Linked DNA regions of Anolis sagrei. The protein of the gene in region 3 purifies or fractionates together with the protein of the main gene of each other region. This does not show direct contact. Links are inferred from orthologs where the notes say so. Each region holds a gene or a part of one and is shown on either strand. Other genes may lie near its edges. The genes, in order: NHP2, NOP10 and NAF1.

What was found.
Region 1: the proteins of NAF1 (region 3) and NHP2 purify together in Homo sapiens (affinity purification with western blotting; 3 studies listed by BioGRID and IntAct, with this or other methods). This does not show direct contact. The link is inferred for Anolis sagrei from reciprocal best matches to the Homo sapiens genes NAF1 and NHP2.
Region 2: the proteins of NAF1 (region 3) and NOP10 purify together in Homo sapiens (co-immunoprecipitation; 6 studies listed by BioGRID and IntAct, with this or other methods). This does not show direct contact. The link is inferred for Anolis sagrei from reciprocal best matches to the Homo sapiens genes NAF1 and NOP10.

Annotation. Positions count from the first base shown.
Region 1 is NC_090022.1:76,372,483-76,376,232, reverse strand, and holds the start of NHP2 (H/ACA ribonucleoprotein complex subunit 2), read right to left. Parts: upstream 2,221-3,750; 5' UTR 2,137-2,220; coding exon 1,968-2,136; intron 1,625-1,967; coding exon 1,555-1,624; intron 1-1,554. Other genes in the region: BRD8 (bromodomain-containing protein 8), read left to right, coding at 2,334-2,352. UniProt on the Homo sapiens protein: Required for ribosome biogenesis and telomere maintenance. Part of the H/ACA small nucleolar ribonucleoprotein (H/ACA snoRNP) complex, which catalyzes pseudouridylation of rRNA.
Region 2 is NC_090026.1:13,101,614-13,105,363, forward strand, and holds the start of NOP10 (H/ACA ribonucleoprotein complex subunit 3), read right to left. Parts: upstream 2,628-3,750; 5' UTR 2,523-2,627; coding exon 2,469-2,522; intron 1-2,468. UniProt on the Homo sapiens protein: Required for ribosome biogenesis and telomere maintenance. Part of the H/ACA small nucleolar ribonucleoprotein (H/ACA snoRNP) complex, which catalyzes pseudouridylation of rRNA.
Region 3 is NC_090025.1:55,967,479-55,971,228, forward strand, and holds the start of NAF1 (H/ACA ribonucleoprotein complex non-core subunit NAF1), read right to left. Parts: upstream 2,959-3,750; 5' UTR 2,893-2,958; coding exon 2,411-2,892; intron 1-2,410. UniProt on the Homo sapiens protein: RNA-binding protein required for the maturation of box H/ACA snoRNPs complex and ribosome biogenesis.

The DNA.
Region 1 (3,750 bases), on a different chromosome or scaffold from region 3:
GACATTGCTCCTTAATGAAGTGGGAGAACAACAAAGCTACTGTTAATCCCTCTTCATAATATAAAGTTGCAATACTGTTGATAGTTGTAAGCCTCCTCAATCTCAGCAGAATTTCTGAGTAAATTCTGCTCTCTGCAGCTGCTTTACAAACCAATTCTCTGCTACCTAATTTTTAAATATTTGTAGTGTGGTCAGTATTCACATAAATTGGATTCGACTTAAGAGACTCGTACTCTCACACAGACAGAATGTGAGAAATAAAAAAGGCAAATAGGTCAGTGTGAGGCACTGAGGTTAACATTATGCAGATCCAAATGAAAACAATGCTGCTGTTATATGACTTCTGGCTTCATCATGGCTTCATCATCATTGTGGCCTCCTAAAGTTTGCATTTTTGACACATGGGCACATTTTAGTTTCCCACATGACACAGAAATACAAGGTGTTTCTAAAAGAAGGACGTGATCTGAAATGGCTATCTCTCTGCAACCACAAACCACTCATAAATGAAACTTACCCTTTGGAAGGATGAGGCATAGAACTTCAAAGAATTACAAACAGCCTTTAGCCTCAGTCATTTGCAAGATGGTGACCCACATAAGGACTAATGAGATATTTTCCATTTGAGGAGTTAATTTTTAGGTTTGTTTCTGGCTCAAAATAGTAAAAATGATAACTCATTAAACCATTTGTAACTTTTTGTGTAACTATAAGATGTTACCATGGTGAAATACACTGCTTTCAAACTGTGTCCATCATTTTGAAACACCCTGTAATTCACTCATAACAATCAGGAACACTACAAAGAGAGGACTTAGTTCCAAGATCTGCAGCGGATGACTGAACTGAAGTCAGCCATACTGTGTCAAACTTGACACAGGAAACTCTGAGGGAAGCAAATCATTCAAGGAACAATATCGCAGATTCCTGCATAGGCAGAATACCTACTGATACCCAAAATGGTGGTTTGTGGGCTGGTGCAGGTCAGTAATCTACTGGCCGCTGGTGCATGTTGTTTCCAAGAAGGAAATACTGTAGTTATAGTTAATGAGCACAAGTGTGCTTATCTCTGGCTTTCTGGGGAGCAGGGGGGCAGTTGTCCCCCATATTAGATAGCTTAAGAAGCACTAAAAAAGACAAATGCTCTAAAGGAATTAAGCGCGAGGCACCTGTGATCATTCCAATATTAATTTAATTACTTCATTTTTATACTGCCTTTCCCCTGGTATGAGAATTAAAGGCAGCTAACTGCAAACATGACATTACACCTGGGACAAGAAATAGTTTATGCTTAGTGAAATGGAATTTGCTCCGTCAGAGGGGCGGAGTCTTTTTCCCTCAGAGGGGTGGAATCTTTTTAAGCAGAGGCTGGATGGCCATCCGACAAGTGCTTTGTTTGGATGTTTCTGCATGGACTAGATGGCCCTTGGGGTTTCTTCCAACCCCATGGCTGTGTTACTTTCTTTTCTGGCAAAGGAGGGGCTGGCATCTGTGAGTAGCGCACCGGGTGGTCCTTGGGGAGTCTTCTATCGCAAATCATGTTAAGATTCTTACCCCTTCTCGCCTTTGTTAATGAACTTCTGGACCTCTTTCACTCCACGCCGAATCTGTTTTACCTTCGATGCTGCAAGTAGAAGGGGAGAGAGAATATGTATGTGGGAAGCCACCAACCCAGCAAGGAGGCTTGAAAGGGAGCCCTCTGAAGACCCCCATCCCCTCTCTCCAGGAGTGCTGCCCCTAAAACCTCCCCTTTTCCCAAAGGTGCACCTACACTGCAGAGTTAATGCAGTTTGACCTAGGCCAGGCATGGGCAAACTTGGGCCCTCCAGATGTTTTGGACTTCAACTCCTACAATTCCTAACAGCCTCAGGCCCTTTCCTTTTCACCCTCAGCCGCTTAAGCTGAGGACCCAAGTTTGCCCATGCCTGAGTACAGTAGATGCAGGCCCAACCCCTTCCTTCCTGCACCTTTCTTGATGCACTTGTAGAGCTTCCGCGTGAGCTTGCGGGAGGCCAGGGGCCGCGCGATGGCGTTGACGTTCTCCACCAGCTCGTGGTAGGAGCGCTCCGGGGTGGCCTCAGTCTCCGGCGCCGCCTGCTCCTCCTCGGCCTCCTGGCGCTTGCTGGCCCGGCCCATGCCTGCTTCTCCGCCGGGAAGGAGCCACGCGCCTCTCCCGCACTGTCGCGCTTCCGGCTCAGACCAAACACGTGCCGGGAAGGGAAAGCAAGGCGTCGGCCAATAAGAACGCGGCTTTGAGGAGGAAGCACCGCCCACCGCTCTATGGCATAGCTCGCGGCCCCTTTCCCGGCACGCACCGGGCGTGCGTCGGAAAGATGGCCGCCGGGACGGGTAGTGAGTGGGGGTCTGTCTTTTGAGGAGAGGGTGGAGGAAGGAAATAAGGCGAGCGGGCGGCGGGTGACAGGGTGCCTGCGTTTTTTTAACAGCTTCCATAAAATTACCAGGTCTTGGGTTGCTGTAAGTTTTTCGGGCTGTATGGCCATGTTGCAGAAGCATTCTCTCCTGACGTTTCGCCTGCCTCTATGGCAGGCATCCTCAGAGGTTGTGAGAGGCGAAACGTCAGGAGTGAATGATTCTGGGACATGGGCATACAGCCCGAAAAACTTACAGCGACCCATGATTCCGGCCATGAAACCCTTCGACAACACATTTACCAGGCTTCCCCCCCCCCCCCCCCCTTTCCTCCATGTAGGGAAAAACATATCTTCTTATTTATTTCGTGTCGCTTCTGCAAGCCCCTTCTGGTGGATTGGCTGTCTGCAAAGATGATGCCCTGATGTTTTGATGTTTCGCAATCCTTGTGGGAGGCTTCTCTCATGTCCCTGCATGGGGAGCTGGAGCTGACAGGGGTAGCTCATCCGCGCTCTCCTCGGATTCAAACCTTCAGCCCTGCCGGCACAAGGGTTCAACCCTTTGCACCACTGAGGGCTCCTCAAGTTGCTCCTGACACAGAAAAAAATGTGTCAAAAGAATTGCATAAATAAATTATAAAACTGATAAAATAGAGGGAACACAACCAGCTAAATAATTTTTGGCCAAAAAAGGGCAACAGCGACCACATTGTGTTGTCAAAGGCTTTCATGGCTAGAATCGCTGGTTTGCTGTGAGTTTTCCAGGCTGTATGGTCATGTTCCAGAAGCATTCTGACGTTTTGCACACATCTATGGCAGGCATCCTCAGAGGTTGTAAGGTCTGTTCGAAACTAGGCAAGTGGGATTTATGTGGAACTCTTGTCTGCTTGAGGCAGGTGTAAATGTTGTAATTGGCTACCTTAATTCACATTTTAATTTCCTTGCAGCTTGAGAGTCTGGCTTTGGAATGGCCAGCCTCCCACTCTGGACATGCCATAAGTATATAAACTCCACTTGCCTAGTTTCCAACAGACCTCACAACCTCTGAGGATGCCTGCCATAAATGTGGGTGAAACATCAGGAGAGAATGCATCTGGAACATGGCCATATAGGCCAAAAAACTCACAGCAACCCAGCATTGTCTAGCTTTAAACAGTTCTTTCTCTGTGCATGAAGCAGGGCATTGTGGGCACACATACAGCTGCAGAGTCTTTTGTTCTGCTCCGCAGTCGCAGATTCTTCCACCTTGTGCGACTGACAACCATTTTGCCAGGTTGTCTTTTGATCTGCACAGTCCACTTCTGAGTCTGTTTAGGGACTTCCAAGTTGCTCATTTTTGGTTTGCCCCTGGAGGAAGACCTTCATGGGGGGCTATCCAATT
Region 2 (3,750 bases), on a different chromosome or scaffold from region 3:
TGACTGGCTGCTGGAAGCTCCACAAATATTTATTGCACTGTGTATATTGCAAAGCTCTTTGTTATAATCATTGTACTCTGTGCATCAATTTCCCTCTATTTCAGCAATAAAGTGTGATAGTAACTTTATTGTGTTTTTATTGGTGCATAACCGACAGCTGGCACAGTGGGTTAAACCGTTGAGCTGCTGAACTTGCTGATTAAAAGGACGCCGGTTTGAGCAGGGTGAGCTCCTGCTGTTAGCCCTAGCTTCTGCCTATCTAGCAGTTGAAAACATGCAAATGTGAGTAGATCAATTGGTACCTGGGTATCACAACTAGATACAGTGAAGACATCTGCCCTTGTGCTTTGCTATTCTGTTGCTGAGTATGCATGCCCAGTGTGGAACACATCTCACCATTGGATGCGGCTCTTAATGAGACATGCTCATTATCATGGGGTGTCTGCTCCTTACACCACTGGAGAAATTACACTGTGTAGCCGGTATTGCACCACCTGACATCCGTCGGGGAGTAGCAACCAATAGTGAAAGGACTAAGGCAGTGACATCTCCGGTCCACCCCCTGTTTGGGTATCAGCCAGCATGCCAATGACTTAAATAAAGAAATAGTTTTCTAAGATCTGCAGAAACACTTGCTGGAACACCTCAGCAAGCGAGAGTCCAAAAGCGGCAGGCTCAAACCCAGAGCCTCAATCAATGTCTGGTACCAAATGAGAGACTCCCCCCTGGGCACACAGAAAACTGGGCGACTTGGAAGGTGCTGATCAGACTGCGCTCTGGCACCATGAGATGCAGAGCCAACCTTAAGAAATGGGGCCACAAAGTGGACTCCACCACATGCGAGTGTGTAGAAGAGCAAACCACAGACCACCTACTGCAATGCAACCTGAGCCCTGCCACATGCACAATGGAGGACCTTCCTCCAGCAACACCAGAGGTCAGCTACTGATCAAAGGACATTTAAACAACTACCAAGCTTGCAAACTTTGTGTTTTGTTTGTTTGTTTTTAATGCAATACAACTGTTTTGGTTCATTCCTGACACGATAAATATAAATAAATAAATAGGTACCACTTCTGCGGGAAGGTAACAGCACTCCATGCAGTCATTCCGGCCACATGACCTTGGGGTGTGGTGCTCATCTCCACACCCCTATGTCTATGGACAATGCCGGCTCTTCGGCTTAGAAATTGAGATGAGCACCAACCCTCAGAGTTGGACACAACTGGATTTAATGTCAGGGGAAAACTTTTACCTTAACTGACAGCTGAACCATCTGAACTATTTATTTACAGACTTCATGCAAACTTGGAACCCAGGACGTACTACACAAGGCAAGCCATTGTGTTTTTATAGATGAACCTGGGAATTATCTGATCTTTGAAACATCGGAACTATTCAATTACGGCGCTGAATTGGTGTAAGCCTGCCATTGCTACAGACTCAATGGACTCGTTTAAACCTGTCCACTCATTGGCTTGGAGGATCCTAGAAGTAAAGTAAATCACAGAATCATAGAATCAAAGAGTTGGAAGAGACCTCATGGGCCATCCAGTCCAACCCCCTGCCAAGAAGCAGGAATATTGCATTAAAATCACCCCTGACAGATGGCCATCCAGCCTCTCTTTAAAAGCTTCCAAAAAAGGAGCCTCCAACATGCTCCGGGGCAGAGAGTTCCACTGCTGAACGGCTCTCACAGTCAGGAATGTTTAGCCATGAGAGAATTTGCCATAGAAGACAGTCCCAACAATGAGGCATTCTGATGGTTTCCCTATAGCTATGGATTTCGTTTGCCTTTAAGATTTACTCCAAGTTGTCCTTCCACATTTGTGGATTTGATAATTTACTGATTTAATTAAAATCTCTAGGTGTCCTTCCACACAGCTATATAACCCAGAATATCAAGGCAGATGATACACAATATTGGCTTTAAACGGGGTTATCAGAGTCCACGCTGCCATATAATCCAGTTCAATATGGATTTTATACAGCTGTGTTGGTGTGACTCAAGGTTAAATTATACTGGAAATTACCATATGCAAAATGGCAAATAATAAGCTTTGTTTTCTGGATATTTTGCAATATTTTCAAGCTGTGAAAGGCTGAATCCTTGGATGCAAAATTTGTGGATATGGAGGGCTGACTGTGGTATAATGATATAGAACTGGCATAGGCAAACTTGGGCCCTCCAGGTGTTTTGGACTTCAACTCCCACAATTCCTAGCAGCCTATCGGCTGCTAGGAATTGTGGGAGTTGAAGTCCAAAACACCTGGAGGGCCCAAGTTTGCCCATGCTTGGGAGTCTTAGTTTAGTGAGACAACAGCACTCTTTGGCATAGAAGTCTAACAACTCCAACTCCTAGCATTGAGCCATAGCAGTTAAAGTGGTATCAAACTGCATTAATTCCACAGTGCAGATGCACCCAGAATCAAACATTCACACACCCCCAGGGATGTAAAACCCTTACCTTGAGGGTATAAACCCTGTCCCCTCGCTCATCCAAGTAGAATTGCAGGAACATAGCTGCAAAATCCGGAGCAAACGATTCTTATCAACAGGATTCGGATTCCAAACCGATTTCCCTTTCCCTTCTCTTCCTGCAAAACACGTGCAAACAAACTCCACCTCTTCCTCCCATCCTCCAATGAACAGGCACAAAAGAAAACTTCCCTGAGCATTCTGGGAGCTGTAGTCTTTCGCCTTTCTTGCCCAATGCCTGCTGGGATTTGTAGTTTTCCTACTGTAAACATGCACTCGTGCAAAAGGAATCTGTTTCTCTACCTGTTGAAAGGATCATCTTTCTGTCTTTCATCTAGCATTCCTTTTATTCTCCCATCATCTAATCCTTTCAACAGTTTTTAAATAAGTTTTCCAATTGTTTTGGAAATAATGTAGGAGGGTTGAATGAAAAGTAATGCCTCCACCTTCGTTGCTTGGCTCCTATGAGGAGCGGCTTAAGGAGCTGGGCATGTTTAGCCTGAAGAAGAGAAGGCTGAGAGGAGATATGATAGCCATGTATAAATATGTGAGAGGAAGCCACAGGGAGGAGGGAGCAAGCTTGTTTTCTGCTGCCCTGGAGACTAGGACAAGAAACAATGGCTTCAAACTACAAGAGAGGAGATTCCATCTGAACATGAGGAAGAACTTCCTGACTGTGAGAGCCGTTCAGCAGTGGAACTCTCTGCCCCGGAGTGTGGTGGAGGCTCCTTCTTTGGAAGCTTTTAAACAGAGGCTGGATGGCCATCTGTCAGGGGTGATTTGAATGCAATATTCCTGCTTCTTGGCAGGGGTTGGACTGGATGGCCCATGAGGTCTCTTCCAACTCTTTGATTCTATCATTCTATGAAACGCATAAATAATCCTTAGAATGTGCTCTTTAACTACCACTATTCACTTTTCCACAGAATCACCAGACCATTGGATACATTTCTGCCAACGATGGACAAGTTTTCTGACACTGTCACGGAAGAAGTCGACACTCGTTTCCGCAACCAGCATCTCACACTTCTCTCATCCCGGTACCCATCATGCACAGATCTTCCGATAGCCAAGCAAAGCAATAATGTGATCCACACGGTCTAGTGAAATGGCGATTATGCTTGAAATTTCTCTCTGAGTGATACGGCGATCGTCCTGAATCAATCTCAACCTTTTGCTTGTGAAACTCGGTGGTTGCTGTCACAGGACGTCCAACTCTTTGTCACGCAAGTCAGATGTTCCCACCTCAACATCTTTGAACTTACTTGCCC
Region 3 (3,750 bases):
TCGAGCATCATATCCACAAGCCTTGAATCTAAATCCATACCCCACTATCCTGACTAAATAGAACAAAGTGAGCCTTTCAGATATTACTGTAGAACAACTCCCATCAGCTTTAGTCATGATGGCAAATGAGAAATATAGGAGTTGGAGTTCAGCATCTGAAGGGCCCATAAAATGACATAGTGGGCCAGATTCCACCAGTGGGCCTTGGGTTTGACATATGTGTTGCAAGATTAAAGATCTGGAGATCATGCCCTACAAGAAGCGTCTTAAAGAGCTAGCCATGTTTAGCTTGCAGAAGGTTGCAAGGAGACATGATAGTCAAGAATAAATATGTGAAAGGATGTCGTAAGGAAGAGGGAGCAAGCTTATTCTCTGCTGCACTGGAAACCCGGACTCTGAGAAATGTGTGCAAATTGAAGGAAAGGAGATTCCACCTGAACATTAGGAAGAAGTTCCTGACCGTACGAGGTAGTCAACAGTGGAACACTCTGCCTTAGAGTGTGGTGGAAGTTAATTCTTTGGAGCAGGCATGGGCAAACTTTGGCCCTCCAGGAATTTTTGACTCCAACTTCCAGAATTTCTAACAGACTACCGGCTCCCATACTGAGACAGCTCCACTGACTGCCGGTCCCCTTCTGGGCTAAATACAAGGTGCTGGTCCTTACCTACAAAGTCTTGAATGGTTTTGTCCAATTGCATCCCCTTATAGAGACCATACCGTGCACTGTGGTCAGCAGAGGAGGTCCTGCTCTTAGTCCCACCTGTCTCAAGCATGGCTGGTGGGAATGAGAGGGGGGACCTTCTCCATGATTGCTCCCCATCTCTGGGAAAAAAATCTCCACCCTCCTCTCCTTTAAGAAACTTTTGAAAACGCACTTTAGCATATGGAGAGGAGGAGGACTAACCATTGGAACACTGACAATCCAATTTGCACTATATGATGGCTATGCTACATTTTAATAAATACCTGTGTTAACCATTTCATATGCAACTCATGTCTGTTTTTAATTATATGTTTAATGTTCACACACCCTAAGTTATTGTCTAATTGATTTATCCCCCATCTCAATGTTTTATTTTTTCATTGTAAGTTCATTGCTATTAAAGGTAAAAGTTTCCCCTAGACATTAAGTCCAGACATGTCTGACTCTGGGGGTTGGTGCTCATCTCCATTTCTAAGCCGATGAGCAGTGTTGTTCACACACACCTCCAAGGTCATCACCATCATCATCTTTAATTACTTATTAATCGCCCTCCATCCGAGATGCTCCAGGCGATTTACATAAGGAATTATACAGGATAAAACACATACATACAAATATTAAAATTAACATGGGTCAAATGCTCTAGTAAAAAGCCAGGTCTTAAGTGCAAGGATAAAATGCCCTAAGTCATGCATGGCTCTCAAATAGGGAGGCAAGGAATTCCGTAAGGCAGAGGTAGCAATAGAAAAGGCCCTGAGTCTGGTGCTTTCCAAGTGCACTTCCCTAAAGGTAAAGGTAGTCCCCTGACCTTAAGTCCAGTCATGTCTGACTCTGGGGTGTGGTGCTCATCTCCATTTCTAAGCTGAAGAGCCAGCGTTGTCCGTAGACACTCCAAGGTCATGTGGCCAGCATGACTGCATGGAGCGCTGTTACCTTCCCGCCGGAGCGGTACCTATTGATCTACTCACATTTGCATGTTTTCGAACTGCTAGGTTGGCAGAAGCTAGGGCTCACAGCGGAAGCTCACGCCGCTCCCCGGAATCGAACCTGCGACCTTTTGATCAACAAGCTCAGCAGCTCAGTACTTTAACCCACTGAGCCACCGGGGGCTCCAGGACCCGGTAAATAGAGCAAATCGTGTTGGGATGGTCGTGGCGACCTCAGATTACGGTAGGAGAGATGGCATGACTGCATGGAGCACCATTACCTTCTTGCCAGAGTGGTACCGATTAATCTACTCACATTTTCATGTTTCCATACTGCTGGGGCTAACAGCGGAAACTCATGCCACTCCCCGGATTCAAACCTGCGAACTTTCAATCAGCAAGTTCACAGCTCAGCAGTTTAACCCACTGCACCACCCGGGGCTATTGCTACTATTCTGTATTATTCCTGATGATGTTTGTTACTTAGTAAGGTATTGAATGTTTGCCTATTTTTGTGCTGAAAACCGCCCCGAGTCCCTTTTGGGAGAGGTGCAGTTTAGAAATAAAGTTTATTATTGAGGGTTTTGAAACAGAGGATGGATGGCCATCTGCTAGGAGTGCTTGGATCGTGTATTCCTATTTGGAGTTGGCCTGGATGACCCTTGTGGTCTCTATGATTCTATGACACGAGTGATAAATCTGTTTTGAGATCTACATGAAACCAATGCTTATTTGGCAGCCGGGAAAGGGAAAGAGTCCTTTCATGGGGAAACTACCCACCTTTCGGATTCGGAAGAAGAGCTGCCACTGATTTCCATGACTGTGGCCTCCTTTCCTTCGCGATCCGACCCGCCATTCACATCCAGAGGAGGCTGAGAGGGGCTCCTAGGGTCTGGGGCCTCTCCTTCGGGGCCAGGAACCGGCTCCGCTCCATCTCCGAGGCCAACCTTTCTCTCCGTCTCCTCGCAGCGAGGGGAAGAGGGGCCCATTCCGAGCGGAGGCCCCCCCTCTTCCATTGCGGCGCCCTCCAGGGCCTCCAGACCCCCTCCATCAACGGAAGCGCCGGCACTCTCAGGAAGGCCCTGCGGGGCGGAGGGAACCTCTATGGGGCCGCATTCCGGCTGAGGAGCGGCCTTTTCCCCTTCCCCAGCGGCTCCCTCAGCGGCCACGCTCAGCTCGCTCAGCTGCTCCGCCACCTTGAAGGTACCACCAGCCTCGGAGGCCTGCTCCTTCTTCTTGTCCTCCTCCTCCGCCTCCTCCATGCTGCACGAGAGCCGCTCACCACAGCAACACGCGCGCCGTGCTGACGTCACGTCCGGCCCAAGTGCTTTTCGAATGGCACGGCGCTCGCCGGTGGGAGGCTTCCCCTTAGGGCGCATGCGCCTCTATCACATCTCCCTTTGCTTTCCTTCCTCCCCATTGAAGTATCACAGAAGACTCTCAGGGTCCATTCACACAGCTATATAAGCCAGGCTCCTTCTGCACAGCTAAATAAAACCCCACATTTTCTGCCTTGAACTGGGATATATAGCAGTGTGAACACAGATAAACCCAGTTCAAAACAGATATTGTGAGTTCTTCTGCCTGGATATTCTGGGTTATATGGCCCTGTGGAAGGAGCCCCTAGAACAGTGGTTCTCAACCTTCCTAATGGCGTGACCCCTTAATACAGTCCCCCATGTTGTGGTGACCCCCAACCATAATATTGTTTTCATTGCTACTTCATAACAGTCATTTTACTACTGTTATAAATCATAATGTAAATATCTGATATGCAGGATGCATTTTCATTCACTGGACCAAACTGGGCACAAATACCCAATACACCCAAATGTGAATGCTAGTGGGCTTGGGCGAGGATTGATTTTGTAATTTGGGAGTTGTAGTTGCTAGGATTTATAGTTCACTTACAATCAAAGAGCATTCCGAACTCCACCAGTGATGGATTTGAACCAAACTTGGCTCCCATGACCAATGGAAAACACTGGAAGGGTTTGATGGCCATTGACCTTGAGTTTGGGAGTTGTAGTTCACCTATATCCAGAGAACACTGTGGACTCATGCAATGGTGGATCTGGACCAAACTTGGCATGAATACTCAATATGCCCAAATGTGAACA